Arabidopsis thaliana: one gene and its partners. The protein of the gene in region 1 interacts with the protein of each later gene in a pairwise test. Each region holds a gene or a part of one and is shown in the gene's direction. Other genes may lie near its edges. The genes, in order: HD2C, NF-YA5 and AT1G74840.

Evidence for each region.
Region 2: the proteins of HD2C (region 1) and NF-YA5 interact in a two-hybrid assay, tested with the Arabidopsis thaliana proteins (one large-scale study listed by BioGRID).
Region 3: the proteins of HD2C (region 1) and AT1G74840 interact in a two-hybrid assay, tested with the Arabidopsis thaliana proteins (one large-scale study listed by BioGRID).

What each region holds. Positions count from the first base shown.
Region 1 is NC_003076.8:975,678-986,986, forward strand, and holds HD2C (histone deacetylase 2C), read left to right. Parts: upstream 1-6,181; 5' UTR 6,182-6,316; coding exon 6,317-6,329; intron 6,330-6,661; coding exon 6,662-6,732; intron 6,733-6,809; coding exon 6,810-7,021; intron 7,022-7,134; coding exon 7,135-7,184; intron 7,185-7,297; coding exon 7,298-7,437; intron 7,438-7,650; coding exon 7,651-7,743; intron 7,744-7,879; coding exon 7,880-7,973; intron 7,974-8,072; coding exon 8,073-8,284; 3' UTR 8,285-8,612; downstream 8,613-11,309. Other genes in the region: CTR1 (Protein kinase superfamily protein), read right to left, coding at 201-299, 394-478, 568-668, 749-817, 1,094-1,134, 1,325-1,600, 1,958-2,163, 2,299-2,402 and 3 more; AT5G03750 (E3 ubiquitin-protein ligase), read left to right, coding at 9,119-9,228, 9,342-9,567, 9,647-9,820; ATCSLA09 (Nucleotide-diphospho-sugar transferases superfamily protein), read right to left, coding at 10,233-10,395, 10,490-10,684, 10,764-10,963, 11,051-11,164, 11,253-11,309. UniProt on the Arabidopsis thaliana protein: Probably mediates the deacetylation of lysine residues on the N-terminal part of the core histones (H2A, H2B, H3 and H4).
Region 2 is NC_003070.9:20,214,357-20,225,407, reverse strand, and holds NF-YA5 (nuclear factor Y, subunit A5), read left to right. Parts: upstream 1-5,955; 5' UTR 5,956-6,219; intron 6,220-6,675; 5' UTR 6,676-6,701; coding exon 6,702-7,160; intron 7,161-7,186; exon of another isoform or gene 7,187-7,245; coding exon 7,246-7,419; exon of another isoform or gene 7,420-7,447; intron 7,448-7,533; coding exon 7,534-7,827; 3' UTR 7,828-8,072; downstream 8,073-11,051. Other genes in the region: CID3 (CTC-interacting domain 3), read left to right, coding at 489-594, 697-852, 956-1,080, 1,196-1,386, 2,063-2,240, 2,338-2,559, 2,633-2,760, 2,827-2,890 and 6 more; SPL2 (E3 Ubiquitin ligase family protein), read right to left, coding at 8,105-8,381, 8,466-8,585, 8,768-8,889, 8,981-9,142, 9,231-9,329, 9,557-9,928; TAFII21 (TATA binding protein associated factor 21kDa subunit), read left to right, coding at 10,539-10,799, 11,042-11,051. UniProt on the Arabidopsis thaliana protein: Stimulates the transcription of various genes by recognizing and binding to a CCAAT motif in promoters. Involved in the blue light (BL) and abscisic acid (ABA) signaling pathways.
Region 3 is NC_003070.9:28,111,088-28,122,009, reverse strand, and holds AT1G74840 (Homeodomain-like superfamily protein), read left to right. Parts: upstream 1-4,587; 5' UTR 4,588-4,692; coding exon 4,693-4,975; intron 4,976-5,138; coding exon 5,139-5,347; intron 5,348-5,503; coding exon 5,504-5,809; 3' UTR 5,810-6,567; downstream 6,568-10,922. Other genes in the region: PTAC2 (plastid transcriptionally active 2), read left to right, coding at 1-1,530, 1,829-2,143, 2,235-2,339, 2,440-2,773; AT1G74830 (myosin-binding protein, putative (Protein of unknown function, DUF593)), read left to right, coding at 6,817-8,239, 8,336-8,541; AT1G74820 (RmlC-like cupins superfamily protein), read left to right, coding at 9,445-10,128; BOR5 (HCO3- transporter family), read right to left, coding at 10,476-10,535, 10,640-10,759, 10,861-10,922.

The sequences.
Region 1 (11,309 bases):
AATAATGTTCTGATTGTTTTTAAGACGACAGCTTGAGGCTGCTGTATCTTTTAAGTTTCAGCAGATTAACGCCTTTTTGTAATGTCTCCAAACCAATTTAGAATTAAAAATCATAATTTATATATAAGCTTGTCTCACAAGAGGAATAAAATATCAAAATCAAAACATTGGACACAACAATTTCTAATTTAGATTCAAACCTTGACTGTATATTTTTTGTCAACCAATAAGTTTGGAGATTTTAGATCTCTATGCACAATTGGAGGATTGCGATTGTGAAGATAATTCATTCCCTTAGCCTGTGACAGAGAATTGGAAAGAAAGTTCCATGTGAAGAAACACCAAGATCAGGAAGTAATCACCCATACATGTAACATAAGGAATTAAACATACCACATCATAAGCCATACTCAGGCGACGTCTCTCATCTAATTGCTCCCTTGCTCCACTTTTATGCAAAAGTCTGTATAAACTACCTCTGTTTGAAAGAAATCATGGTATTAGAGTCATTATAGGCCAAAATTCTACACTCAGTACATCAAACCTTCCAAATCCAAGTAATTGTACCTTGACAAATATTCTGTCACTATTGACAAATTTGGAGGTTGAGTGACCGCACCCATGAAGAGAACAATGTTAGGGTGGCGAAGGCGTTTCATTATCGCAACCTGACAGCGAATCAAGATCATTGGAGACATTAATACAACAAGTTCATTACCAAAATCAAGAGAAAATTTTATTTGTGCACCTCTCTTAAGAACTCATTAACACGCTCAGCATGGAAGTCTTGCTCCATGAGAATTTTCACAGCAACATCCTGAAATTGATAGAGAATATTACTGCAATAATCAAAATTAGAATTCTTCTAGTGATAGAATTGTAAAATTCAAACAGGAAGACAAATTTATGATATAAAGACACATATACATCTAAAATGGGACACCTTTTGTCCGTGTTTAATTTCTGACAGAACGGAGAGTCACATATACAATAACTTTGCCTTTTATAATACCAAGCAGATCCAAAAGTCACAACCAAATTTTTAGAGCGAAAAAAAATTCAGCTGCGTAAATTCTGACAAAAAAGTTCTTACCGAGCCATGCCACTCAGCACGGTGGACAGTGCCAAAGGAACCTGAAAGAGCAGTCGCTCAAATTAGAGTGGAAGAATTAAAGGCAACAGAGAAGAATGTAATCTCAAAATGGGTGGCACTTTTTCCTTATTTTGTTCGAGAACAGAGTCCAAAGCAAAACCACTTCCTCAAGAATTTCATATTTCTTTGCATTTTTAGACCGAATCATTAATTTTTCCGTAAAATTATTACCTGCTCCAATCTTTTCTTTTATATTAAGATCACACCACGGGATGTCCATATCATCACCATCAAGTCCAAGTTCCCTATTTGCCCTGTTTGGAACTGGCTGACTGATTGGTGGGGCATTCATAGGTGCTGCTTCAATTTGATTTGACGCACGCATCATGTTCTGTGGAGGCATATTAGCACTGGGTGGCAAAGACCCACCACCATTTTCTGCCAATGCGTCATTCTCTCCACCCGGATTATCATATTGCCTATGAAACATTGAGAATCCCATATCATCTACAACCATTCAAACAAGCAGATATAAGAAATTAGAGTCCAGAAGACAAGTCTTGCACATAAATGCACTAGAATTCATAAGCTTGAACAGCAGACTAACAAGTTTAACCTTAAATATCATTAGGCAAAGAACCCACCAACAAACATACACATCAACAGCCAAAAACAACTAAAGTGAAAAGAGACAAGAAAACAAACAATAGAATCATTCTAAGACTACTAACACTTCAGATACTGAGACATGATCAAGAAATACCCTAAATGATAGGAGATTACTCTTTTAGGGGAAATACAAAACGAGATGTAAGCAGCATGCAAAAAGTTAACATATTATTCAGGTTTTTTGTATGGGAATACCTGATGCAGGATCGAAAACAAGATTAAGAGACTGGCTATCGGAGAAATATTGTTTGGCTAGTAACCTAAAATCGACTGCGGGTTCAACTGGCTTTGGTCGTGGAAACCGCAGAGGAGAAGAAATTGAGATAGATGAAGGACCATTTAGCAAGGAATCAGGCTCCCATAAGTGACCTGGCTTTCCTACTAAATCAACCAGGTACTCCCTGAAACCAAAACAAATTTTCCACGTCATCAACCTAATATTCTGCGAAACATTTGGAGCTATAATTGTTTTTCCAGAAACAAAAAGCAAAGAAAATAGGAAAATAAAGGCTCTTTCGCAATCACTTGTATCATACCTATCAAGCCCAAACCTGACAAGGCACGAAGCGGCATCGTCTCTATTACAATATTTACATCCTTTGGCAATTCGACAGGGTAAATCAATTATGTCAGCCAGTACCTGCATGCACCAAATAGAAGATATAAAATACTTTTTTTCTTTGGAACATTCAACTATCAGTAACCTATTTTTTTCTAATCAATAACACCACTTTTCACATTCAACGTTCTTCATATGTATTCCAATAAAAACAAATGGATGAAGCACAATAATTTATATGATCATTTCACAAGATGTCTTAAATGTCATGGGGATAGCATCAAAGTTGGGATCTCACTTTGAAGAGTAAAGCTCGATGTCTGCAGAGTCCAACAGAGAGGCTACCTATGGGAACCACCACTTTAAAGATTTCTTTTAGACCATCAATGCACTCCTTCCACATGGGAACCAACTCATCTTCCCCCATGATAACTGGACCCCTGGGGAAGCAAGAATTAACGAGTACAATGTGAGAAATCACAGGAAGATATAAAAATATAAGTTCAAAGGGATAGTAAGGATTGTATGAGTACAAACCCCATACGATTGCAGATAAGCTTTGCCAGCTGATCAACAACCTCTTTTGTGGTAATGCAGCTACAAGATATGTCGTGGACTCTATTGTGAAGTTCCTTGAAGGCTGGATCACTACGCCTATCAACTATGATCGCTTCAAGCGAAGAATCAACACCAGAATCAACAGCTCTTAATGATTCAATTGAAGGGATGCGACCACTTTCATGCAGGTCGATGCATAAGGTCCAAATATAGGGATCCAGACCATTCATCATATAAAACCCATCAGGAACTTTATCATAGTACGATAAGCAGCCATTAACCTGATGCAGCACACAAAACAATCATACTCTGCAATGTATCTAAACAACATATCTCATTTGCTACTAATAGACTTTTGGTAAGGAGATCTAACTGAAACTTCGGAAACAAGAGGACCATATCTCTATAACCACGATTCAATAATTTTGGGAAACAAAGCTTAACAGGAACAAATACCCAGAAACGATGTGAAACGGTTTCGGCTGAACTTGGCGAAGTCCGTAAAGCAGACTCGTCCGGTACAGGATCCAGAAAGTTCGGATCGTCGGCACAAGTAGCCTCCGACGAAAGCCTTAACGCCAATGCAAGCTGCAGCTGATAACTCTCCTCCGTCTGCTGCGCCCAGCTCTTCCCAGATGAAGACCCTCCAGCGGAGTCCGCCGCCATCTGTATCCTCAAATCTCCTCCACCACCACCAAATCCAAGCCTAAACCCATCATCTTGAGGAAATCCAACAGATTCGATCTCGTTAGCCGCCGCAGAAAGCGTAGGCATGTAATAATCCCCAGACAAAGAGCTCTCACCGAAACTACTCCCACTGGATTGCCTTTGCAACCCTAGAGACGAAGCATACATATTATTCCCAACCCGATTCGGTTGATTATTCAACCTATGATCACCACCACCACCACCGCTAGGATCCCAATCAAATCCGCCTCTCTCCGCCTTAGCTTTCCCGGTGTTCCCGCTGTTATGGTTGCTCCTGTTTTCGCTCGACAAGGAATCATAGTGAGGCGGAGGAGCTCCGGTGACGGAAACTGACACCTGATCGTCAGAAAATTGACTAAGCAAAGTGTAATTAGATCTTCTACCGGGCATTTCCATGGAAAAGAGAGTTATCGCGATCTAGATGAGAGAGTTTCCCGATCATATAAACATCAAACCCTAGGAAACCGCCATTGTTGAAGAAGTTTGGCGAGCTAGCTAGCCACTTGTTTCTCTCTCTAGTTTTTCATTTTTTTTTTGTACTTTTTAAAAAAGTCTCTCTCTCTCTCTCTCTCTCTCTCTCTCTCTAATGGAATTGGATTTTTTTTTTGTTTTTGCGTTATCATAGGAAATAAACTTACTCGGTGCGTTTCTGTTGATAATTTCGTTATATTCCTCTTTTGTCCTCCTTTTTATGGAACTTTGACATTTTTTTTATTTTTTGTCAAAACAATTCTCCAATTTAGTTTGTTTTTTAGTGTATTATTATTTGTCTAATTTTTGTATTCGACTATGATATCTATTCATATGTTTTGTGCTAATTTAATCGCTAATAAAACTGTTTAAACAATTAATTTGGTATTTCATATTTTGGTGATAAGCAACTGAAATTGGAAGATAAAAAGTAGTATCGTAGTGAAAGTAGAAAACGCAAAGCTAAAAGAGGAACATACACAGTGTAAAATACTAAACCATCTTGCCTATCAAATCCAAATACTATCAAATTTGATCTTTTACACCAATCTGAATCCGTAACATTGGATCCAAGTTTCGTATACCTAAACATGAAATTTTCATTCGGCTCTACGTAGTCTAAAAAACTCGACATAAAATAAATAAAAAGCCTTTATAACGTCCACAATATTTAGAATAGAAAGTGAGAGAATGGACTATAATAAAATAATTGGAGTCGAGGGGGATGTATTCGTGTATGCGAAAATGGATGGGCTCTTCTGTCTTTATATTCCTTAATTTGTCTATTCAAACACATTCGTATTTCTGGTCTTCGGCCTGCGACTTCTATACCATGCATGCATCTTATCTCTCTCTTTTTTTTTTTTTTTCGTTTTCTTTTCTACTTCTCCATTTTTTTTTAATTTGGTTATTTTTATTGCCTTTATGTTTTTTGTGTATTATATATAAATGAACTAATAATACTTCATTATGTTTCGTGTTATTATAAGTGAATTTTTCACAACCATTACAAAAAATTATCTTTTGCTTAAAAGTTAACTTTGGATTATAGTACTTCATAAAAATGTAAAGATTTTGATCAAGTACTTATCAACGCAGCTTGGGTAGTCAATGTGCTGTCATTAATTTATCTATCAAGCTATCCACGCAGCTTGGACAATAAATAAATATTTAAATTCTATTGCATATTTATATCATTTGATCCGCTAAGGTTCATCGAATACTGCCAGGTTCATTGCACTCAACGCATTTTTGTCATTAACTTACGTTTTTTAGCCATGGCTGCTGAGAATATAAAGTTGCTACTATGTAAAGAAACTTTTGGGTTTGATCATATTTGTGCACAAAAAAAAATAAAAAAAAAATCATACTTTTAAAACTAGTATTAATCCAAAAAGTGCTAAAACATAACAAAAAAAAATTCTCCTTAACTACTATACAAACATATATTTTTTTATGCGCATAAATTAAAACTTAACAATTGATTATGATCACATATGTTGAAAAAAATCGAAATTATGTGTGATATGTAAAACCGGAGTATAATATTGGTAAACTATAAATTTAAGAGCATTGGAAAATGTTCATGATTCATGCCGAGAACTCTTCTAAATCTAAACACGAGAGGCCCCGAATAGATCTAACTAAAATGAATTGTGTTTAATATAATAATAGTGTTCCTTAATTCTCACTCGTGCAACTATCCATTTAATAATTTTAATTATTCGTAGTCGGGGACCGTACTTAGTTTTATCATATAAACTCTTCACAGATTTTGTTAACTGGTTTTTCTTTGGATTAGAAAAAAATTAAAACTTTGCGATACATTATGCTCAATTTATCCGTGGGACTTATTTTGAGGAATGGAGATAGATATTGTCATGAAGACATGAATATATAGACCCCACATGTTGACGAAAACTCCGTCAGTCAAATAAAGTGTTAAAAGTCCGTTACGATCCGTCCTGACACCGTTAAAAAAAGCCGTCAAAATAAAGTATGGGCTTGAAACGTTAGTTTTGTTGGGCTAATTTTAAAATCATGGCCCAACTAAAGGAGATATTCGAGTGGACCGCGTAACAGAGGATCCCTAAAATCCCTTCCTCCGATTAATAAATTCCAGCGGACATTTTAGCCTTCTCACATCAACACGCCCTAAAACCGCTCTCGAGAGACGAATCGCTCTCAGCTTCTTCTAGAACCTTCTCCTTCTCCTTCGACGCATCGTCGCCTTCAAGATCACACTACCTCGCACAACAATGGAGTTCTGGGGTAAAAAACATCTCCTATCTTACTCCTTCTTCTTCTTCGTTCTCTGCGCTTCATTTCCTGCATTTAGTTTTTTTTTAGCTTCTGGTTTCATCGCTTTTTTTCGTTTTGCCATGTTTTTCTACTGTTTTTTCTATGGAATCTTCTGTTTAGCTAAACGAGAAACGGGAATAGTGAGTATATGTGACAATCTAGGGTATGGACTGTTCGTCTTCGTAGAAAATTGGGGAAAACTGAAAAGTTTTCTCTCTCGCTAGGTTTTAACTCCGATAGAGGTTTCATTTGGGGATTTTGTTGCAGAATTACTGATTTGTATGCTTTCTATGCGTTTGCAGGTGTTGAAGTTAAGAATGGCAAACCACTTCACCTAGATCCTGGGCTAGACAGGCTCGTGCACATCTCTCAGGTACTTTTGAATTTGCAAGCTTAATTTGATTTATAAGAATGTATTTTACAGTGACGTTTGGTTTATTTTTGTTGAAGGTTGCTTTGGGAGAGAGTAAGAACAATGTAACCGAACCAATCCAGCTTTACGTGACTGTTGGATCGGATAAGCTTCTCATTGGAACGCTATCTCATGAGAAGTTTCCTCAGCTGTCTACGGAGATTGTCTTGGAAAGGAACTTTGCGCTGTCTCATACTTGGAAGAATGGGAGCGTTTTCTTCTCTGGTTACAAAGTTGATGCATCTGATCCATATCCTTTACTATTTGAACATTTTTGTTGTTATCGCTTTAAGCTTTGTTGATGAAAATGTTTTGGGGACTTGTTGCTTTACTCTGTTTTTGACTTCCTTGACTCTATCTCACCGAGCCTGAGGATTTGATTGATGATCAACTTGAGGCTGCTGGTTTCAAAGGTAAATGGGGACTTTTATATCCAGTCCTGCAATGATTTGTCTCCAGTTGTCTTATTTTAGTTTATTTAAGAACATCAATCTCTTATAAATTTATTTGGCCTTGGTTGAGCCAGCTGCTCCGAAATCTGCTGCGAAACAGGTGAACTTTCAGTTGCCAAATGAAGATGTCAAAGCCAAGCAAGATGATGACGCTGACGGTAGTGAAGAAGATTCTTCAGATGATGATGATAGTGAAAACTCTGGAGACGAGGAGGTACTTTTATCTATATATACTAGCTCAATTTGTTATAGAATTTTACTTAGGCTCAGTGACATGTTGATTAAACCTATAGACAGTGGTACTAGAGTTATCTTAAGTATGTTTGTAACTTCTATATTTGCATTTTCACATGAACCCTTGATTACCTATTGTGTTTTAGCCCATTCTCACATTTCTTTAATCCTTATCATGGCTGCTTTGTTTCAGGAAGAGAAGGTTACTGCTGAATCTGACAGTGAGGAAGATGACTCATCAGACGACGAAGAAGATGACTCCTCAGAAGAGGAAACCCCAAAGAAGGTAACATGACAGTCTCTTTTATGTGCTTGTTGATGGGAAACCTATATTTGTTCTATCTTATCTTCCTTTGGGAGCAATTTCTCTGCTTCTGTGGTCAAGCTCGAATCTGATTCTAAGTTTTCTTGGTTTATAAAAGCCTGAAGAACCCAAGAAGAGGTCTGCAGAACCCAACTCCTCCAAGAACCCTGCGTCCAACAAGAAGGCTAAGTTTGTAACTCCTCAGAAAACAGGTGATTAAATCCTTTTTACCAATCTCCCCATTGAATACTTATTTTAACGATAGAAAGGAAGATTGATTTGTTTAATTAAAAAACATTCGGACAAAGCAGATTCGAAGAAACCGCATGTCCATGTTGCAACTCCTCATCCCTCAAAACAGGCGGGTAAGAATTCTGGTGGAGGCAGCACTGGAGAGACATCGAAGCAGCAGCAGACACCGAAGTCTGCAGGAGCGTTTGGGTGCAAGTCGTGCACCAGAACCTTTACTTCGGAAATGGGATTGCAGTCTCACACAAAGGCCAAACACAGTGCAGCTGCTTGAGAAGAAGAAGCAGCATGATGACTACTCTCTATAATATCTACTCTAGAACTTTGATGTCTTTTGGTACTTAAATCTGGAACTTGCGAGTGAGCCAGTTTTAGTTGGTCTTTTTTTTCAGGCATTTCTTCCTGTTTAACTTTATCGTTTTGGTAGCTGAAACTGTGCTAAACCTTTGTTTGTGTTTAGTGGTATGGATATTAAGTCTTTTTGTAGACTTTTCTAGTGAAAATCTACATTTGAAATTCTCTGTCCAAAACATACATTGATTGAAGATTAGTTAGCATGTCACTTTGTAACATAATCTAATGGACCCGAAATTAAGGATTTTTAGGGCTTGTGGTTAATATGCAGCTACTACACCAGTTTGCGTATATAAATATAATAGGAAGAGAAAAATAATAACAAGCAGGTTTGCCCGAGTGGTTAAGGGGGAAGACTTAAGTTCTTCTGCACATAAGTGCGCGTGGGTTCGAACCCCACAGCCTGCATTTCCCCTCTATTTTGTTAAAATTAATAAACTTGTTGTGTTCCTTCCACTTTTGCTGTCTTCCAAAGGTTTCCAACTTCCGCTTCGTATTTCTCTGATTGTGAATTAACCAAATCACACCAAGAATCATAATACTAATTGGTTTTCATGTAGAGTTTCCTTTTTTGCGGTTTTCATGTTGAAGAAAAAAAGGAAACGCAAGTATTAGTTTTCTTTTAATCGAGCTTACTTTTTAAGCTGCTTTGCTCTTTATATACAGATTGCTCTGTTTTGTAAGAAGCTAAGTTTTGGGTTTTGCCTTAATGCAGCGACTACGGCGTTTCGTCTGTGGTAATGTCGGAATAACAATGGAAGTATTCGATGAACCTGATGAGGAAGAAGAACGCCAAATTAGCCAATACATCGATGTGGTAGACTCACCTAGGGTTTCACAGAACGAGAGTGAGTATCAAAGAAGGTCATCAGAAAGTGTTTGTTCATCATCGTCTTCAGGATTGCAGGAGGATAAAGAATCATTATGTTCGATCTGTATGGAAGTTTGGACCAACGGTGGCGTTGTTCGTCTACCAGCTGCACCTTGTCTTGTTCTTGGGATCTCAACAACTATCACAATGTTTATGCTGGACTACAGAATGGAATGGTTTTAGTATTTGACATGCGTCAAAACAGAGGACCTTTGGTTTCGTTGGCTGACGTAACAAGCAATTCGGTTCATATTGTAGATGGATTTCATGTTTGTCTCAAGAGAAGAGGTGATGGTTCTTATTCTCAGAAACAGTCATCCACACAAGCTATAGTAGATGCCATCAGTTTGCCAAGAACGGCGATTAGACTTTGGCGAGGAAATGACACAACTTTTTGCATCGTATGATGAGTCCACCCGTGAACTCATCTTGCAAGATCCTTGGTCTTTTGCTGTCTCACAACGGTTCGCATTGTCAAGTCAACTTCCGCTTCAAGATGTGAAATACGCTAACCTCAATGGCTCGGGTCTGCTCGGTCTCTTAACCAATGATAGATTCCAGTTTCTTAGAAGCGAATCTCCATGATCGTTGTTGTAGAGATTAAAAAACAGTTTGTTGAAGAGCAAACATATATGTAAAGTGACCAACTTCTCTATCTTTGATTGCTACTATTAGTTATAAAATCTATATAGCTACAATATCCATAAATTGTTTAAAGCTTTGAATCTATTTGTTCAGTTAAGTTCTTTTGTCTAGCGATAAGTCAAAAATCATTTGCCTTCAAGGAATCTGAAAAAAACCTTCAAAGTATATTTCTTCTTTACTATAAGTATCCTTTATCTTCCACACTACACACACCATTTCTGTAACAATGGTATCATCAATTCTCTCTATTCACACCAACAAGAATTTAAATAGCTAGCGAATCCAAAAAGAAAGAAAACAAATCATCTTCTTATCCTCGAGCAATTCGTCGCTCGAAAACTCCTTTTTCCCTTCAATGGTTAGGCACAATTGTCCCAATTTGCCCGAATCCCGCAATGAAGAACGCGATTGCTTGTGCGAAAAGGTATAGATAATAATGATTCTTCCCAAAAAACGCGTCATAACATCCCACAAATAACAGATACATTCCTACACCGAGTTCCAACACATGAATTCTGCCATAACACACAAAAAAGGTAATATTAGAATTGGTTTGGTACAGTTTACCAGTAACCGAAATCAAATTGAAAAAGGGAAGAAGTTTTTTACCTATCTCCAAATCTAAAACGAATAACCTTCTTTGAAGTCTTGGTGGCTGATTTAGCCTTAACATCTCCCAGCTTCTCTGTAACAATCCACTCATTAACTCTTCCTCCTTCGAGTAAACCGATAAAGGTAGCTTTTGTTCTGTGAAGAGACATCACATTCTCGAACAGAATCCAAAAGACCATAAGATGCAATGACCTATAAAATACATGTAACCAACAATTAGAACCCTAATAAGACTTGAGCCCCAAGAAACTCTCCGAAAATGTTTTTTTACCTTGGTGTCCCAACGGCGTTGAGGAGAGTAATGACTGAAGGAATGTAAACCGCTCCCCATTTCGGAACAGTAACTTCCGGTACAAGAACTGTAGCGGGTAAGATCACACAGTAGAAGATGAAGGTAACAATGTGTGCCACTAGCTTTCTAACCACGAAGAAGCTATATATCACATGAACTTTCTTCCACAAAGTCACGTTCTGCCAAAAGAAAGTAAACCGGTTCAGTTTTGTTATGTTATTGTATCTTAAAGACTTTCTAATTCGTGTAGAGGGATTGAAGGAAACCTTATTAGTCATGATTTCGAATGCCATTTTCCTGAAAAGATTAGCTGGACCACATGACCACCTGTGCTGTTGATACCTATAAGCCTTGAATGTACTTGGCAACTCGTTTTTAACCTATAGTTTTTTTAAACAAATAATTATTTCACATGTCAACCTTTAAGTGACTCTATAACCATAGTCTATAAAAAATATATTATACTACCTTCAAAGAACCGAGGTACAAGAATTTCCAACCCTTGAGACTAGCTCTCACGGCCAA
Region 2 (11,051 bases), on another chromosome or scaffold:
TCATTGCAAAATAGTTATGGGATTCAAATCCTTGGTTAGTGGATAGAACACCAATCTTCTAATTTTACGTTTTGTTGTATGCCTATTGTGCTGGAAAATGGCTAGCAATATACATCTTATTGGCAGTTTTTGGTTGTTCTTCCCATGGCTCATAATCAGAGTTACTTTATGGTTTCAGTTCTATAGTTCATTGATAATTCATAGCATACTTTTTTCCCTCGGAATGTGCAGAACATTCAGGTTACTTCTCTGTATAGGGTTTAGTTGACGAACCCCTAGTAATATGGAATTGACTGTGACATTCTATCTAAAAAATATAACTTTTACATCGCATTAAGAAATCTAAAAGAAGTTTTGATGCCAGCAAGAATGCGAATTGGAGGGCCAGTTTGCATATTAGGCTCATCGTACCGTGAGACGGTTATCTTTATCATCTTATTGAATAACCCGTTTATTGATATTTTCGTTTTCTTCAGGTTAAAGCAACTATGAAGCCTGTTCTTCACTCGGGTTCTTCATCCAATGGATTTTCACACAGGAGATTTGAAAAGGAGGCATGGATGAATAACGCACAGCCTTCTGTTGACAATACAGGTTTTGTATATATATTTCGAGACATATACATATATACCTTTACTCTGATGTAGCACCAACATCATGTTCTGCGTTCTCTTGTTTGTTGATACATATGTGCAGAAAACGGTTGGGACGCTGAAAGTGTGGATACCCCTTCTCAGAAGCTGTTAGTGTATTTCACAACTTGTAATATTGGACATCAGGTAGAAGTTCATCTCAAAAATGGATCTGTTTACAGCGGCATATTTCATGCTGCTAATGTGGAGAAGGATTTTGGTAAGGCTCTGAATGAGAACCTGTTTGTTCCTTTGAGATGGTATATAATATAAGAAGAGGTCACATTTTTTTTATCCCTTACAAACTGCTATGAAACTTTCAGGAATCATTTTGAAAATGGCATGCTTGATTAGGGATTCACGAGGAACCAAATCCCGTACTGTCAGCAAGCCATCTTCAAAGCTACTCAAAATCCCTGCTGACGAACTTGTGCAAGTTATAGCTAAGGTATGTACTCCTTTCTTGCAGATGGGATTGGGTTTTATGTTCACATGAATGCAACAACATAAGACTACTTGGTGTTTTGACATTATTATTCTTTCGTCATTGGTCTATTTGTTAGGACCTTCCTCTATCCAGCGATAGCGTCTCAGATTCTGTTCAGTGCGAGAAACCTTTAGAGCTGTTGACAGACTCTCTGATATCACAGTTTTATAATGTTGATTTGGAAAGAGAGCTGAAACCTTGGGTACCTGATGAAGATGTTCCAGACTGTTCAGATCTGGAGAATGTGTTTGATGATCCTTGGAAGAGGTAATGATGCTATTCATTAAAGTAGGATATTTACCTTTTTGTTAGGATTTCTGTTTTCTGATATAGAAACTGTTTTCTCTATTTCATTTTCCTCTGTGTTTACTTTTGTGAACTAAGTTAGAAAGTGCTTTGGAGGTTGTATCGGGTTAGGCTGAGGGAGACAACATCGTTTTCTCGATTTCTATTCTTGGTACTATGATTCTTTTTTTAATAAAAAGAGTTTTGTATTTTATTCATGTTCTTGATTCTTAACTCTAACAAGTAGCCATAGATTTATTTATCCCAGTTCAATTCCTCCCATTGGTTGGTTAGGTTGTGTAAGCGGGCTACACCGCCTTGCAGTTGGTTGGACCAATATGGGGTTTTGGTGGGTTTTGCGAGTAGGCCTGTCGTTTATAAAATTTTCATTTTTCTTTACTTTAAGTTTAATTTTTATACAGAATCAAATAGAAATATAGTATATAATACATGTAATTTTCAAAATAAATATCATTTTACTTAGTAAATTGAATATAAAAAAGCTTTTTACATATATTGAAAATTACATGCGGGTTAGTGTGAGACCTCTGTCCGCAGTTAGTTAACCCTGTTCTCTTTTCTTATTCTTTCATCATGTACACTTCCTGGGTTAACGACACTTCTCATGACATCTTATATGTGTGTGATGATATCGTAGGGGCTGGAATCAGTTTGAGGTCAATAAGACATTATTTGGAGTAACAAGCACTTTTGATGAGGAACTGTATACCACAAAACTTGAGAGAGGTCCTGGAACGAGGGAGCTAGAAGAGCAAGCCTTAAGGATTGCGAGAGAGATTGTGGGTGAGAATACCCGAGATATTCACGTAGCAGAGGTGAATTATGGATGTCTTATGTGACACTGAATTTTTACGTTTTATTGTTGTACCATATTTCACCTCTAATGGTCATGCGTGCAATCATCTTACACAGGAAAGAGGGCTCCAGCTTAGTGGAAAGTTTGATATTGATGAGGAAACCAAATACTCATCGGTCTGTGCGACTAATAGATTTGATGATACGTGTTATGAAGACGATGAAGAAGAAGAAGAAGATATATTATTGGATTGCTGCAACAATTTGACTTTTGGTGATTCTTCTGCTTCTGATGGCAAGGAACCTGCTTCAACTGGCAAATTCTATGAAGATTCATGGGTATGGTTGAGTTCTTCACTCCTAGTAGTTTCTAGGAGAATCATAGGTGATATTGCCATTTTTTGTCCTTCAGGGTGACAGCCTGCATTTACGGAGTAACAAAATGGTAGATCAGAGCTGGTCGAACTCAAATAAGCATACTCGCCAGCTTATGTCCGAACTGCCATCCAAAGATTTTCCTGTTGCAGGAAACAACATCAGGTCTTTTTCCCTTTGAACATACAAAATATCTTTCATTGAACTAGTTTCTGAAACTCATTCTGATAGGAATGAGAGCCAGCTTGGTGAGCAAAGAAAGAGCAAATTCCTAGGGGCTTCCCTTTTTAAAAAGGTATAAAGTTAAACGACGCACCTTGTGTTGATTTGGCATTTGCTTAATGGAACATTACATATAACACTGTTCTGTTGGCTTCAATCTGTATTAACGCAGCCATCTGAGGAATCAGTGTCTGGTTTTGAAGGTATGTGCAACTTCAGCTTATCGAATCTATCTACTCCCGTTTCATCTTATATGTTGATACCAATTGAATTTCCTACTAAGTTTTTAATTGCCACCTCAATGAAGATGCACCACCACCTGTGAAGCCAAGTTTCATTGATGGAAGACTCGGTCTACTCTCTGACAGAGCAAAGTCTGAGAACTCTTCTGGGTGGCCTGGAAGCTCCATTTCTAGAAATTCAGAAAACTCTGCAGCTTCCTCAGCATCAAATCTTCCAATACTGTCACCAAGCTCTTCGGGTTCTTTATCATCAGAAAAATCCACACTCAACCCAAATGCTAAGGTTTTTTTCTTAGTGCTTAGGTTATCATCTAATATCTCCTTAATACTATAAGCTTTTTACTAACGAAATTAGGTCCGACCAGGAATTTAAACTGAACCCTAACGCAAAGAGTTTCAAACCATCTCCATCAGCAACACGTCCTCAATCTCCTCAATCTCCAGTCTTTGACGGATCATTCTATTATCCTCCTGTTCCACCCATGCCAGGACTACATATTCGATACGGAGTAACTTTTCTTTATTCTTTATCTAGTGATCAACGCCTAAATTACTCTTTAAGTCTCTGTTATTATGTTTCTGATTCACTAAGTTGAAAATTGACAGACGGGAGCAGCATTCCCTGGGCAACAACACCCAATGATGTATAACAATACAACACAGCTTAGTCCGAATCAAACATATTATTCTCCAAATAGTCCACAGGTTTGTTTATTGCTATTAATAGTCATTACTCTTGAAAACTCTTTACCTTCTCTCTATTGTAAGACTGAATTTTGGAATCAATGTTAAAACAGTACCCACAACCGATGATGGTTACTCAGCAGAGACCAATCTTGTTCATGCCGCCAACGCCATACCAACCGGTTTACTACTTTACTTCAAAATTCTTGTTTTGTCTAGTTACAAAAAAAAAATGATCAACAGAGTTAGATTTTGCTGACATCTTTGATTTTATTGCAGGAGATGCCATACAAAGGAAGAGACTCTTATTAGCTTTTGGCCAAAACCATGAATGGTGGTGGCACAAGAGAAGGTCTCGAGCTGATGGAATTGGTTTCATTTAATGTACTTTATTTTTATTTATTTCCAAAGCACCGAATCTTTTCATTTTTATTCTAAAATGAACACAATTGATGTGATGGTGATTTAGTTTGTTTAGGTATTAGACTAGATTTTACATTAGATTCGTGCTGATCTCATTTCTTTATTCACTTCTGTTGTGTCTCCCTATTCAAACTTTAACGTTAAATCTTTTAGTTGTATGACATATTCTGTGTGGAGTTTGTTTTATTTATATAAAAACAGTTAGGTAGGAAAAAAAACTTTTTCATTTGTGAAAAGGAAAATCAACGATTGTAGTTCAATCTTACATATACGTGTTAAGACATGGTAGGGAAAAAGTGGAGTGCGTCTATGATTGGATTTGAAAGCGTAATGTTTAAAATTTGGAACTATTAGATTAATAATGGGTTTAGTCTTGTCTTGTCCTAAAATGCATATAAATCTTATTGCGGTGTGTTAAGGATCGAGGTTAGGGGAGATTCGAAAATATTAACTTTGTCGTGTTTGAAAATATTAGTTTAAGTAAGTCTATAAACATAAACATAGGTAAATCAAATAATTGATTTCTAAGAACTTCTAGATACTGTTGATATATAATAATAATATTTGAAGTAACACCTGTAACTTCCCTCGTTCGAAGCATGATAGTTACGCATTTCTTTTCTCTAAAGCAAATAAGTAAAAGGTACGTGTAGCAAACAACAATTAATCTTCCCCACAATACAAAGTCTCGTATTACTTCAATTATTACTAGTTAAACAAAGTGTCATTGTAGTGAACTACAAATAGGTGTCCAAGAAATAGAAATGTTGCTATATACTATATTCTTTCTTTTGGAGTGTATTTATAGTGTTTTTTTGTCTTCCTTATAATTACTATTCAGAGTTGTGGATTAAATGCAGAGAGATAGTGCAGAAATTACGATTCATTGCTGCTTTGTGTTGGGGAAGCTGCATCAAGAAATGTGAAAAAGGGCTCTTTCGCTTTGCTTTGCTTTGCTTGACTTGCAATAATATCAATTACCCCAACTACAAATATAAAATATTTTTAATTTATTCGCTTAAATGCTACTATATTGATTGCGCTATAAAGAGATGTTGACAACCTTCCACTTAAACTTTTGCTTTTTAAATTAAAAAAACACCTTCTTAAACAAAAACAAAAACAAAAAGACAGAAAAAAAAAGTACGCTTAGATAATACATAATTACATATCTTCAACTATATAAACAATGTTTTAGAATTCTGCACATTTTTGTTATGAAACAATTAAGGAATATGATACTTCAGATACCCTCTATATATTATTTAGAATCTTTGAACCTTGTAATATATATGCTGAATAGAATCGCATATAAATTGATAAAACATCACTGATATGAACATAAAAATAAAGGTGTTAAACATCTTTGAAATAAATGGAAATATTTACCATAAACATTTTTACTTTGGTTTTTCTTGTCTTCTATTTTCCTTCCTAACATTTTAATACTATCATTTATATATTTAGATATATTTCTAGCCTTGTCTAGATTATACACGCGTCACACTTCTAAATTTATATCTATCTTTTACTAGATTTTTCTATTATTTATTGTTGCCTACATATTTCTATTTTGTTTTGTAATAAAACTAAACCTGATTTGAAAATTATAAAAGCACTACGTGACACGATTTGATTCGATATACTTAATTTTTGAAACATAAACAATATAAACAAAGATAAGAAAAAATACCACAAATAGAAATGTCAAACTCTGCAAATAAATTCAGAAATGGAAACAAAATAATATTTTAAAATATTTAATAAATTGTGTGTGAATAAATATGCATTTGTTGAGAGAAGAAAACCATAATTAAAAAAAAAAAAAGAGAAAAGGAGTCAAGATTAGTCTTTTAAGCCATAGCCAATACCCAATTTGCAGAGACAGAGGAAGAGAGAGAAAGATAGTGAAGAGAAAGAAACAACCATGTTCTGAGGAAGGAGACATGCATCATCATCATCATTCATCATCATCATCATCATCATAATCTCAAGCTTATTACTTAACTTCTTTTTCTCTCCATCTCTTCTTACCAAATCCAAAGCACCAAAGGTCTCTCTCTCTCTCTCTCTCTTCTTGTTCGCTTAATTTATTTGGTAGTGATGTTATGATTTGGTTGCTCAGTTTCTACTTATGATGATATAATTAAAAATAATAATTTTTGAGTTATGAGAGAAAAAAATCTTTTGGTTGGTTTCTCTGTTTTCTTGGATCATTAAGTTCAATGAGATTTGATGAGTTTTTTTATCTGTTCAAACTCAGAAATTTAATCTGTCGATTTTAGTTTTTGTTTGCATGTTGTGTAAGTTCTAGCCATGTTCAAAGTTTGAATCTTTTGGAACCCTTTAGATCATGAAACAATCTTACTGTGTCATTGAACCTGGAATCTGTGTTTTAGGATTGCTTTTATAATCTTTTGGTATCATTTCTCTCTTGTATTTGTTGATTATGTGGATCATGAATAATATCATATGATTTATGACTGGACTTGTTGGTTTGGACATTTAGTTTATTGAAGTAAAGATTTGAAGACAATGCAAGTGTTTCAAAGGAAAGAAGATTCATCTTGGGGAAACTCAATGCCTACAACAAATTCAAATATTCAAGGATCTGAATCTTTCAGCTTGACTAAGGATATGATAATGTCTACAACACAATTACCCGCGATGAAACATTCGGGTTTGCAGCTGCAAAATCAAGATTCAACCTCATCACAATCTACTGAAGAAGAATCAGGCGGCGGTGAAGTTGCAAGCTTTGGAGAATATAAGCGTTATGGATGCAGCATTGTTAATAACAATCTCTCAGGTTACATCGAAAACTTGGGAAAGCCTATTGAAAATTATACTAAGTCAATTACTACCTCGTCGATGGTGTCTCAAGACTCTGTGTTTCCTGCTCCTACTTCTGGTCAAATATCTTGGTCTCTTCAATGTGCTGAAACGTCACATTTCAATGGTTTCTTGGCTCCTGAATATGCATCAACACCAACGGTAATATGCTGTGAAGCCTTTTGTGCTTTTACTATTCTGAATCGATCTGGCGCATTGATTGGTTGATTGGGAAATCTTTTTGCAGGCGCTGCCACATTTAGAGATGATGGGTTTGGTTTCTTCAAGAGTGCCATTGCCTCATCACATTCAAGAGAATGAACCAATATTTGTCAATGCGAAACAGTATCATGCGATTCTCCGTCGCAGGAAGCACCGTGCTAAACTCGAAGCTCAGAACAAACTCATCAAATGCCGTAAAGTATGACTGTTTTCACTTTCCATTTTGCCTAAAACACCAAAGAGAAAGAGGGAAAACTAACTCAGAAGATCTTGATGATTTGATGTAATAAAGTTTTGTTTTCTTTTTCTGTAGCCGTACCTTCATGAGTCTCGCCATCTTCATGCTTTAAAGAGAGCTAGAGGCTCCGGTGGACGTTTCCTCAATACAAAGAAGCTTCAAGAATCATCAAACTCACTGTGTTCTTCTCAAATGGCAAATGGACAAAATTTCTCTATGAGCCCTCACGGTGGTGGAAGCGGAATCGGGTCTAGTTCGATCTCACCGAGCTCCAATTCAAACTGTATCAACATGTTCCAAAACCCGCAGTTCAGATTCTCAGGTTATCCGTCAACACACCATGCCTCAGCTCTCATGTCAGGGACTTGAGGCACATGAGAAGACCTTGCTCCGAGAGAACTCAGGCTAAACTCCGGAGACTGGTGATGATACATGACGGGAAGTCATCCTTGGCTACTTATGTTATCGGTTACAAAATTTCTTCCTTTTAAAAACTTTGCTTTCATATCCTCTACAATCTCTCACTCTATATTGAGTGACTTGACGAACTTTCAAATCATTGTCAAACTATTTTGTTAACTTCCGATTCTCTGAGAGTACAAATTGCATTACCCTATTACATACAATGAGAGAAGATTCAGGGTCACTAAGAGTAATATACACGCATAGATCCCCTAATGCTCTGAAGACAAACTGGACACTTAGGGTTTAACTCTCGTTCCACGGTTGAAGCACATCGCCTGCAACATACTACATGTCCACAGGGAATAAACGCAGGTACTCTCCTTCTTGACACGCAGATCACACACAATTCTCCATCTGGGATTTCATCTGCATCTTCGGGTTCATCATCGACCACAGAATCGTTCGGTCTCTGTGGCAGTTCTCTCTGATGGTTCCATTGTTTCCATTTATTCCAGGTCCTGAAGATAAGACAGTTAAACAGATTTCAAATCGAAACATTGCCCAAATCTAAAACCAAATCTGATCTCTCACAACTCCAGTACCTGACAGCAGCATAGCTAAGGATGCCAACAGACACAATGCCCAAGATAACGCTGCCCAAGAATATAAAGTTGGTCTGTTCCATAAGGTCCTCAATCATCTTGTCCTTGGTCATCTCTGATCTGCAAAGATTATTCATAAAGATTTATATATGAACAGCAAATAGAGCCTTTCTGCAACAATGGACTAAATCTTGTCAAATGATCAACAGATTGAGAAAACATAAAGAAGAAGATGAAGTAATAATTTGAGCTAGAACGCAGGCAGATATATAAGAACGAAAAATATTCAGATAAAATCTCACAAGAAATAAGGAAGATCTTGGCACGATTTGATTTCAGGAACTCCATTATTAAAACTGTAGATGCCAACAGCTGTTATATCTTTCCCAGGTGGTAAAATCTTCTCTATATCAAGCAGACCAACCTTGGAAGAGAAAGGATTACAAAGTTAGCCAAGAACAAGTAACCATCAGTTCCTCAAAACCAGAAATTTCTTTGAATATATATATACTCACAGGATAATCGGGGTACAAAAAGGCTTGAAGAAACGAAGAATTAATAGGCTGCAAGCGATTATACACAGTGGTAAGCGGAAGAGGTTGCCTTGAGCCATCCATGTTAACAGCGACAAAACTAGAGTTCGATTGCTGATCCTTTCCAACAATGACAAATGGGACCTGCACAAAGCAAAGGATACACAAAACAAGTTTGATCATGGATACAGAGCCAAAGTTGAAAGCTCTGAAGCTGATAGAGAGACTTTACCGTTCTCGTAAAATCAGCACCGTGTTTGCGCAATGATCTCTCCAACATAAACCGGTGACCAGTGGACTGAAACAATCTCTTCCATCCACTATACACATACTGTCAACAACAAAATGATGACATTAGAAACATACATTTCCCTTCTGAGATCACACCAGTACCAACTTACATAATCCTAACTTAATCAATCACAATGAACACCTAATCATGAAGAAATCATCCAAACTCTTTAACCTAAGCCTTTGATAAGAACACAAAGCAAAATTAGGTCAATGTCAATTGCAATTTGAGGGAAACATAAACACTTAGGGTTTAGAGCAACGTACAGTTTGCGTTCTCTGAATGATAAGAGCTTTATCTCCAGTCTCCGGAGAGATTAACACGTTGTTGTTCTTGTAACCCTCATCACCGGAAATTTTCGGTTTGACGACTCCGCGAACCACAACGATTCGCTGATCATTGCTCTTCCTGTTATCGTTAGTCTCTGATTTGTCTTCAGAAGCCGGAAGCAGTGATCGGAGGTCGGAAATGGAGACTTCGGGTGCATCTTTGATCTTCTTCAACGCGGCGTTGGTAGAAGCATACTTGAGAGCAGAACCGACGGCGCTAACAGCTAAAGTCAGTCCGAGGATTGCGCCGTCGAAGGAGAGAGCGATGTCCGTCAATAGATTCAAGAGAGCACGCTCCGGCGAGGACATTGTGGTAATTTCGATTTCAACGTCGTAGACACGGTCACACGGACAAGTAAACGGAAGAGAAATGAGGCTATTATCGGTATTTAATATTATACATTCGACCGTCGTTCTAATTTGGGTCTTTAATGGGCCTATGCACGAGTGAAATACAAAATACTAGTAATAAATAGCGTTTTAGTTAAATTACATTTACACCCTCAACGTTACAGCAGATTTACAAACCAAAACCATAAATATCAGATCTAGAGTGGCAGAGATTAGTATTTCCCGATTCCTCGCCGCCGTTCATCAATCTCTCCGTCGTGTTTCTGCCACTAGCTCTCCACCAAACTTTCTCTCTCGCATTAGGTATTTATCGCCTCTTTATGGCATATAATCTTGTGTTTTGGAACTTATTGATGAAGCTAGGTTAGAATCTCCTTTGTCTTTCTTATCTCCGATTCGTGAAGCTCTAATTCTTATTTATTCGATTTATGTAATGTGTTGCTGTTACACGATGTTTGCTTGTGAGATTCGATTGAAACTTGTGTTGTTGCAACATCAATTCTGTATAAGAAAGGTTCTTAATTTGACTCTGTAGCTTTACTTTTTTTTTAGTTGTTTAGGGATAAACATGGCAGGAGAAGGTGAAGAAGATGTACCTAGAGATGCTAAGATTGTGAAATCTCTGCTTAAGTCGATGGGTGTAGAAGACTACGAGCCTCGTGTGATACATCAGTTTCTGGAGTTATGGTACCGGTATGTGGTCGAAGTGTTGACAGATGCTCAGGTTTACTCAGAGCATGCTAGCAAACCCAACATTGACTGTGATGATGTGAAGCTCGCTATTCAATCCAAAGTTAATTTCAGCTTCTCACAGCCTCCTCCAAGAGAGGTATGCATTGTTGACGATTCCATGTTTCTTCTTCTTCATTGTCTGAGAAGAGATGCGATATGATCGGTCATTTGGTATATGTGAATCATTAGGGAATTATCACTCTTACTTATGACTTATGAACTGTGTGTGACCCTCTTGCCTCATAAATTGTATCACTGAGAACCTCAAGTTTTTGTCTGTCACATCCATGCCTTTTGGTTCCTGAATCTTGAAGTTTCTGTTTTTGATGTTTGATTTAGGTTCTGCTTG
Region 3 (10,922 bases), on another chromosome or scaffold:
GCTTTCGTTGAACGATTTCGCACTCGTGTTCAAAGAGTTCGCTGGTCGCGGCGATTGGCAAAGGTCGCTTCGTCTCTTCAAGTATATGCAACGGCAGATATGGTGCAAACCTAACGAGCATATCTACACTATTATGATCTCTTTGCTTGGTAGAGAAGGTCTACTAGATAAATGTCTTGAGGTATTCGACGAAATGCCTAGCCAAGGTGTGTCCCGCAGCGTTTTCTCTTACACTGCTTTGATCAATGCTTATGGTCGAAATGGACGGTATGAGACTTCTCTTGAGCTTCTTGATAGGATGAAGAATGAAAAGATATCACCTAGTATTTTGACTTACAACACTGTGATTAATGCTTGTGCTAGAGGTGGTTTAGATTGGGAGGGTTTATTGGGTTTGTTTGCAGAGATGAGACATGAGGGGATACAACCTGATATCGTGACTTATAATACACTGCTTAGTGCTTGTGCTATTAGAGGTTTAGGTGATGAGGCTGAAATGGTTTTTAGGACTATGAATGATGGTGGGATTGTTCCGGATTTAACCACATATAGTCATCTAGTTGAGACATTTGGGAAGTTACGCCGGCTGGAGAAAGTATGTGATCTTTTAGGCGAGATGGCCTCCGGCGGTAGTTTGCCGGATATCACTTCTTATAATGTGTTGTTAGAGGCATATGCGAAATCCGGGTCTATTAAGGAGGCAATGGGGGTCTTCCATCAGATGCAAGCTGCAGGGTGTACGCCGAACGCAAATACATACAGTGTTTTGCTGAATTTGTTTGGACAGAGTGGGAGGTATGATGATGTGAGGCAGCTTTTTCTTGAGATGAAATCAAGCAATACGGATCCTGATGCTGCTACATATAACATTTTGATTGAGGTTTTTGGGGAAGGGGGGTATTTTAAGGAGGTGGTAACTTTGTTCCATGATATGGTGGAGGAGAATATTGAACCGGACATGGAGACATATGAGGGTATAATATTTGCTTGTGGGAAGGGGGGACTTCACGAAGATGCTAGGAAGATCTTACAATATATGACAGCTAACGATATCGTGCCAAGTTCCAAGGCGTACACTGGGGTTATTGAAGCGTTTGGGCAGGCTGCTTTATATGAAGAAGCGCTTGTTGCTTTCAACACCATGCATGAAGTAGGAAGCAATCCAAGTATTGAAACATTCCACTCACTGTTATATTCGTTTGCAAGGGGAGGACTGGTCAAGGAGTCTGAGGCGATTTTGTCCAGGTTGGTGGATTCTGGTATTCCCAGGAACAGAGATACGTTCAATGCACAGATAGAAGCGTACAAGCAAGGAGGCAAATTTGAAGAGGCTGTGAAGACATATGTAGATATGGAGAAGTCAAGATGCGATCCTGATGAAAGGACGCTTGAGGCTGTTTTAAGTGTGTATTCTTTTGCGCGGCTTGTTGATGAGTGCAGAGAGCAGTTTGAGGAGATGAAAGCTTCTGATATACTGCCCAGTATCATGTGCTACTGTATGATGCTAGCTGTTTATGGGAAGACGGAGAGGTTAGTGCCTTCGCCAGTAATACACGGTTTCTGATGTTTTCTTTTGCGTGTATTTTTATAGCTCATACCTTACTAAGCATGATGATTTATTCCATCATCATAGCATTTTGCTCTTTCAGTTGCCTTCTGTCTATACATGGTCAGGCATGGGGGAGATATGCTAGTGTAATGTAGCACCCTAGTTAATTTTCTTGCAGCTAACTTGAGTGTTCTGGATAAGCAGTAACTTTAGCCATTGTTTTGTATATAACATCTTAAGATTTTAAGCAACACTTCAAATTTTTTTTTTGGTTTATAGGTGGGACGATGTCAATGAGTTATTGGAGGAGATGCTTTCAAATAGAGTATCAAATATTCATCAAGTTATTGGGCAAATGATCAAGGGAGATTATGATGATGACTCAAATTGGCAGATAGTGGAATACGTGTTGGACAAACTCAATTCAGAAGGATGTGGTTTGGGAATAAGGTTTTACAATGCACTTCTGGATGCTTTGTGGTGGCTGGGCCAGAAAGAGCGAGCTGCAAGAGTACTCAATGAGGCAACAAAGCGTGGACTTTTCCCTGAGTTATTCCGGAAAAACAAACTTGTGTGGTCTGTCGATGTACATAGGTAGCCTAAGATCCCTACACTGGCTTCGTTTCATGTGTATGAAATGGTTGAGTACCAGTCAATCTAATTCTTGGTTTTCAATGTTCTGCAGGATGTCAGAGGGTGGCATGTATACAGCACTATCGGTTTGGCTAAATGATATAAATGATATGCTTTTAAAGGGAGATCTTCCTCAACTAGCTGTTGTTGTTTCAGTGTAAGTATTTTGATACTGGGTACCTACCTCATTGCAAGATGCCTTCAAGCTTTTTATCTTGCCTTTTGCCTTTTTTAATTCTTTCTTTCTAACCTCTCAGACGGGGACAGTTGGAGAAAAGCTCTGCTGCAAGAGAATCTCCTATCGCGAAAGCTGCTTTCTCCTTCTTGCAGGATCATGTCTCGTCCTCATTTTCCTTCACGGGATGGAATGGAGGTCGCATTATGTGCCAGCGATCTCAGCTCAAGCAGTTACTGTCAACGAAAGAGCCAACTTCAGAAGAATCCGAAAATAAAAACCTAGTGGCATTAGCAAACTCGCCAATATTTGCGGCTGGAACAAGAGCTTCAACAAGCAGTGACACGAACCACAGCGGTAACCCTACACAACGAAGAACCAGGACGAAAAAAGAACTAGCAGGGAGCACAGCTTAAGAACTAGACAACGTAGTTTCTGTTGCCAAGTCCAGAAATCAAAGGCCTCTTCTGCCTTCCTCCATATAGACTGGTGGGTGAAAACTGTGGGCGTATTTCACAAGCACTCCATATCCATGATAACTATGCTATGGTTTCAAGCAGTAGAGTCAACCTCTGTTAGACAGAAGAAGCTGGAGAAGAAGATAAATGGTGATCTTAGTTTATATGAAGAAGCGTCTATATGAAAATCTCAAGTAAGTAGCCAACTAAGTGTTTTGATGGATTGTTAGACCCATGATTTTGCAGCCATAGATTTTTTTTCGTTTTTTTTTCCATTCAACTATGTTTTTGATTACTATAAAGCTAAATGCTAATGTAAGATCAAAGCTCTAGTTACAATTAAAGGATCTATTAATCAAGATTCCTCAGGGAAGCTCTAGTTTTTGCTTGTGACCTCACCTGATGAACTCTCTCTGTTTCGAAATCTAACTTATTACATAGCAATGACCCAACTCCACCCAGAATAAAGAAAACAATCTGTTGTGCAAGATTCCTTCTTCGGTCTGATTAATCTTTTTCTCTCTCTCGTCCTCAGATATGTGTTTGTTTTCTGATTTAGGAAAGTCACTACAAGTTTGTCATCCAAATTGGTAATAAAATAAGAAAAAGATTGGAGAAAGAAAGGATCTTCCTATAGTGCTTCACACATTACAACTTTAAGATTCCACTTTGTGTGCGCATAAAAGTAATGGTGGCTTTGCTTTCTAACCGATGCTAGTGCTTTGTGTGATTTTGCTGTCTTCCAAAACTATTTACCAAATTTTGTAAATACTTTTTAGAATCTTTTCCCTACAAATCTAAAATAGATAAATAATAATAGTATGTGATCATATTGCTTACAGTCAAATCACATCCTAACATTCTACTAAAAGACTAAAACTATCACCTTTTTGTTTTTTAATGCTATATAGTTGTGATCAAGTCTGGACATACGATCATGCTGTTTATACTACAATTAGGTCCTTAACAGCGTCTTAAAATTTACTCTTAGCTAGAAAACGACAAATTCGACTACACAATCATTTTTGTTGTTGAATTAGATTCCTGAAATTGTAAGTTTTTGTGTTGAAATTCAAAGTTATAATTTCCAAAAAGGATTCACCTGTCTCCCAAGATTTTTTTCTTAATAATCAACTCATAGATCCACAAGATATAGTATTTTAGAAGAAAAAAAAGTACAAGGATGGAGCTGTAACTAAATAGATTATTAGAGCAGAGTACAGAATCATTTCAGAAGCTGACTATTTTTCTAAGCTCAAGTTGCATGCGCTTAGGCCTTAGAGACATTGCGTTGACCAGTACATTATAACCTGTAGATTTTTATCATAAAAATACATGAGGGTAACGTTAAGAAAAATAAAAGCGTCGATTTCATTTCATTTTTCTCATTCTGTTATTTCATTTTTTTGTATTTAACTTTGAGTTTGCGAAAGTCAATAAATATTTCTTCGTTATACGACCTACATTTTTTGGTCGACATAGCGAAATACTTTTTTAACTTCTTATTATAGGATAACATTTATTTAACTCTTTTTTCGTCATCCTATAAGATTAATTAAACTACTAACAAAAAACCTAATAAATCTAGTCAGCCAATGAATAAAAAAAGTCTATCCAAATGAAAACTCTGTAGAGAGACAGGCAGGTAAGAAAAAAATACAAGAACAGACGAATAAAAACAAAACACGTGTCATATGGTACCGTCACCAACACCTACAACATGTAATAGTTTAAAAAGGAACCACGTGGCTTTTGGCTTATAAAAGGGTCCCCAAAGAAGCTCAGATCTAACTCACACCACTCCATTGCCCATTGCTCTGTGTACTTTGCTTCTTTAGGAGAAAGAAAGCACAAGGGGCAAAATCGGAAAGATTATCATGGCCGACGGTAGTACTAGTTCTTCGGAGTCCACTACCGCCTGCGCTGGAAGCGGCACAAGAAGAGAGATTATGCTGTTCGGAGTCAGGGTTGTGCTTGACCCGATGAGAAAGTGCGTGAGTTTGAACAATCTGTCTGACTATGAACAGACGGCGGAGACTCCAAAGATCGACGGCGAAGATAGAGATGAACAAGATATGAACAAAACCCCGGCCGGTTACGCCTCGGCGGATGAAGCTCTTCCCATGTCTTCTTCTAACGGCAAAATCGAGAGGAAACGAGGTATTACTCTTCGATTGAAACTTTTTTTTATCATTCCATAAATTTGATCACTTTAAACTTAGGGATTTGTTAGATATGGTTTGAGAAATGGACTATGAACAACTTTATGTTCATTTGGATTTAGAAAGATGGCTAATTTATTGGGTTTCTTTCTATTTCTTAGGAGTTCCATGGACTGAAGAAGAACACAAGCTGTTCTTGCTTGGGCTGCAGAGAGTCGGTAAAGGAGATTGGAAAGGAATATCAAGAAACTTTGTCAAGACCAGAACCTCTACACAAGTTGCTAGTCATGCTCAGAAATACTTCCTCAGGCGAAGTAATCTTAACCGTCGCCGCCGAAGATCTAGCCTTTTTGACATGACTACTGATACGGTAAATCTCTAATCCTTTGTGACTCTAGTAAGTTAAGTGGTTAGGTTTAGTTTTTAGCTTAGTTGTTTAAAAGAAACTAATAGAGAGCCTTTGTGAATTGTTGGTTAGTGAAAACTTAAGTATAACAAAACTGATTTTGCTTGGTTTTGTTATCAGGTCATACCCATGGAAGAAGATCACCAAGTGCTTATACAGGAGAACACATCTCAATCATCTTCTCCTGTACCGGAAATCAACAACTTCTCTATACATCCGGTTATGCAAGTCTTTCCCGAGTTCCCGGTACCAACAGGGAATCAATCATACGGACAGCTTACTTCATCGAATCTCATCAATTTGGTTCCATTAACTTTTCAGTCAAGTCCAGCACCGCTTTCTCTCAACCTCTCACTAGCTTCATCTAATCTTAATGAACCATCTCCTTCAATGCATCCAGCATTCAACACGATTGGAGTCGCTTAGAGCTTATCCTAAAGGTGAAAATCTGCAACACACCCTGTTTGTTTCTTTGCTGTACAGATAGGTCTTGACTTTGTTATAAAAAAATTCGTCAAATTTATGTATTTGGCTAAAAAAAATCTGTTGAAAAGAAGAATAATAAACAGAGTTTGGAGATAGGACTTAAGTGGGGTTTTAGGGTTCATAATCATCCTGTGTTTTTCCTTCCATGTTTGGAAGTTGTTGTAATACTCTCTAAGTTCATTCGTGTGGATCTATCAAAACTTATAAATCATATTAACGTTATGTTTGTTTTATTCATGATCTCAATCATAAACAGAGTCGTAGTACTTGCTTATCATGTGGCTATCTAAATCATGTTAGATGATTCATGGGGTTTTAGGGTTTTTATAATATATCTGATTTCCAAGGATAAGATATTTTATGTTTGTAGAATAATGTCATTATCTTTAATGATGCCAATAATGTCAAATTTTATTGGTCACTTCCATCATAGTGGAGCTTTTTCTTTTCCCATCAGATGCTTTTAATATATTTTGTGTGGGATGATTACATATTACCCCTGTTGCGTAAGCAATAATCTTCCAATCACAGAACATGATCCCCATTCATTAATCGACCAATCAAACAGCATCATTTTTATATGATGATGATGTATATGTGTATGTCATGTGTGTGTTGGCATGTCCTCTGTTTCTGTCGTGTATGGTTGTATTCAGTTTTAGCGTCAACGACAAACTTCTCCTCACGTCTAAGCGGGGAAAAAAAAAAAAAAAACGAATCCAGTTTATCTTTGTTTGTTTTGTATCTCTCTGTCTTTTGACATTGTCTCTAAATTTATCAATTTCAAATCTGCGACTATCCTTTGTTTTTGGGTACTTTATCTCATCAAATTCCAGCCCAATCTAGACTCTCTAAACCCAGAAATAGAAACACAAATCACAAAAGATTGAGATAGATAGATCATGATCTCTGTTCTTTGTTGATCTTTGACCAAAATTCGATCTCCTATGTATATACAATTGCTCTGTTTTTTCTTGTTCTTGTTTCTGCTTTTACAAGCCACAATGTCTAAACGTTCTTTCAAGAAATTTGTGGAACAAGAACTCGGATCTCTTCCTCATTTCCTCATCTACACTGTTCTTGAATGGAGCCTCATTGTTTTCCTCTTCATCGACGGCGTTATCGCCTTTCTGTCAAACCAATTCGCCAAATTCTTCGACCTCAACATTCCTTGTCTTCTCTGCACCAGAATCGACCACATTCTCGTCCCTAGAGACCCTCAATTCTATTACAACGAGTCAATCTGCGACTCTCACAAGAAGAAAGTATCTTCTCTTGCTTATTGCCATGTCCATAAGAAGCTCTCTGAGATTAAACATATGTGTGAAGGATGTCTTCTCTCTTTCGCCACCGAGAAAGATTCTGACTGTGATACTTATAAGTCTCTCATTGGCATCTTACATAAAGATCTCGAGCTTCTCATTGACGATGAACGAGACCTTCCCTTGGCGTTCAAGAAAGACGACAATTTAGTCCAGACAACAAAAAATCTGGTGGATTACAAGACTAACAACATTAAAAATGATAGCTTGAAGCAACATTGTTCGTGTTGTGGAGAATTATTGAAGATAAAATCTGAGAAGTTACCGAAGAACAACAATTCTTTCCTTGCTCCTGCTCCTTCTCCTAGGGTATCGCACAACAAACTGTCTGAAAACGAATCTGAGTTTAAGGATATGGATGTGGACCGAACACCAAGTTTTGTAAGAGGAGGTAACAAGTTTTTTGGGATCCCTCTGTCTGATTCGGCGCAAAACAGTCCACGATGGTCCGTTCGATCTCTTAAGAAATCCGTTTTGAATAAGACAGAGAATGCTTCGGACACGACAGATCCAACCGGTGAATCCATTCTTAATCAGCTCAAGAAAGAGGTTCGCTTGGACAAGAAGTCACTCATTGATTTATATATGGAGTTAGATGAAGAGAGAAGTGCTTCAGCTGTTGCAGCCAACGAAGCGATGGCTATGATCACGAGGCTTCAAGCCGAGAAAGCTGCTGTTCAAATGGAGGCTTTGCAGTACCAAAGAATGATGGATGAACAAGCAGAGTATGACCAAGAAGCTTTGCAGTCTATGAGTAGTGAATTGGCGAAGAGGGAAGAGGAAATGAAGGAGCTTGAAGCTGAATTTGAGGTTTACAGAGAGAAATATGGATGTTTGACTGATCAAGAAGATGCAAGGGAAGAGTTTCATAAACAAAACGGCAATGCTAGTGCATATGATGATTGCCAAGAAACCAAACCAGTCTCGGATTTGGCTGTCTCTTCTTCAAATCAGCAGGAAAATGGCGAAAACATCGATCAAAATGGGCAATCGAAAAGGTCAGAGGAGTCTACCGCGGAGAATGTTGTCTCTGCAGATGAAGAAAAAGGTATGATTCTTTACTCAAAGTTTGATCATTATGTGTTGTTTAATCTGATCCTAAAAACCCTTTTTAATCTTGTGTTGTTGTTATGAAATTGGGCAGGGAGTGAAAGCAAAGAAGGGATAGTAAAAGAGCTTTCAGAGATCACAGAGAGACTAAGTACTCTTCAATCAAATGGTGATTTATTGAAACACATTGCTGATGTTTTGGATGTTAGTGAAGGAGAAGCAATTCTATTGCAGATATCTCAGAATTTGCACATGCTTCGTAGTTTTGTTGCTATGCCTTCTGAATCCATGAACTTGTAATACAATTTTTTTCCATTTCTTAGAGAACAAGCAAGCTTTCACGCCTTGTCTCAACTTGAAAACATTTCTTTTATTCTTTCACATTAAAAAGTTTCAGTTTGCTCCATGAACCTAACCTAGTTTCAGTTTTGTACTTCATACCCAAAAAATAAAAAAGTTTTCAGTTTTGCATTTGTATTTAGATGTGAAATTTTTCTAAAATGTTTTCACAATTTCAATAGGTATAACATTTTGAGTTTGTATTTAGATGGGATTTTTATATTCTTACATATTTTCACATTTCAAATAGGTATAACATTTTCATTTTCCATAAACATTTTGTTGAGTGTAAATGAATCTTAACACTGAACATAAACAAATTATTTCGTTAAGGATTGACTTTTTTACAAATTTTAAATGCTAATACAAAATGTAAACATAAATAAATTATATCATTTTCCTTCATAATTCAAATTTTAAAACTAAAACTATTATATTTTTATTTATAGAGAACGTACAATCAAATATTTCAACTTATAAATGGAGACATTCGACATTTTTAATTTAGTGATCAAGGAGCGAGAGTTAATTGTACCTAACTTGTTTCAGCCATATATATATCATAGCTCTAGCCACTTGACTAGCTAGGTCTCCGTGAGCTAGGGTTTATTTTGAACCTAATTTATTTTGGCATAGCCATATATGCTTTGCTTAAAAATTGAAGCCATTAAAGAATTGCATAAAATTAAACCCAACACTCATAAAGATTTAATCTTTTCTTGTGTTTTCCTTTAATCCCATCTTATTTTAGTCTAATGAAGCTATAAGGTCGATCCAAAAAAAAACTAATCTCTAATGCTATATAATCTACCAATTAACATCGTCATTTATCATCATCAACCATAATCATCTCACTCACTAGCAATGGCTCATATTTCACAAATCTCTTCTTTTCTCTCAATAGTTTTAATCTTCCTCGCATTATGCATCACTCTCTTCACGAACCCTACTCTCTCACTCCCAGCCCTAAAACTTAACCCTTTCCAAGACTTTTGTGTAGCTGATCTCCAAGCTACCCCAACTAACAGTGGTTACCCTTGCAAGTCACAAGTCACCTCTGAAGACTTCTTTTATTCCGGCTTGAACACTCCTTTAAACACCTCGAACCCAAAAGGTATTGCCGCTAATCCAGCCAATCTCTTGACCTTTCCAGGCCTAAACACTTTGGGAATATCCATGTATAACGTTGCAATTGCACCTGGAGGATACAACCAACCTCACTCTCACCCCGGTGTAACCGAGGCAGGGGTCGTGATCGAAGGCTCGGTCTTGGTTGGGTTCTTAACGACTAACTACACGTTGTACTCGAAGGTTATTGGACCCGGTGATATGTTTGTGATTCCTCCGGGACTCATTCATTACGAGGGGAACGTTGGGAAAACGCAATGCCGTCTTTTGACGGTGGTTGCTGACGACTTGCCTAGCGAGGTTGGTGTGCCTCACACTCTGTTGGCTACGAAACCCGCGATTCCAAACGAGGTATTGATATCGGCGTTTAAGGCGGATAGTAAAACAATCAACATGCTCAGGTCAAAGTTTACTGCTTAAAATAATGGTCTCTATATGGTTCCTCTAAAAATGTAATCTTTTATGAGTTTACTTAAATGAATAACAAAAGTCAGTGTTTTTTTTTTATGGACAAATCTAGTAATACTTACAATAGCAATTCTATTTTCATCATAATAAGTCCGTTACCGTTAGCCTCCCAAGTTCCCAACTAGTTAGGAAAGTTTTGAAAAAAGTTAATATATAGAGAAAAATACAAGATGATAAACACATCTTCTTGGGTTTTATTTAGGAAAAAATAAAAGCCACATATCATCTATGTTTTGCACATGACCACCATCATGATGTGCACTTGCAAAAATGGTTTTGATCGTTATTTTGTTGATAGATCACTCTCTCGAAGAACTCATGTCCCCATCCCCTACTTCTACTATCTCCTTGGGATATATCTGCATGTTAACATGATCGTCTATGAAATTCTTCTTACAAAGTCTAAGATTCAACTCAACGATCTATATACAGATTCTTTACCCAAACAAAAAAAGAATAAAACCTGGTGGCCTTTGTCTTCGTTATGACCGAGTGTACGGACTTTGAGCTCGCCTCTGCTCGTTGTTAACTCGTCTAGAATCTCAGCATCACACTCTTGGACCCCTCTCGCCGAGTTATTCGACTTTAAAACAGGGTTAAATCGATAAACCTCAATCCTTTAAACTACTCTAGACAAATATCAAGAATAAAAAGAATGTACATATTATATAGACATTGACTCACCCTGAAAGACAGTTCAAGCGGGTTTCTAGGAGTTCCAGGGATCTCCTCATACTCCGCCGCAT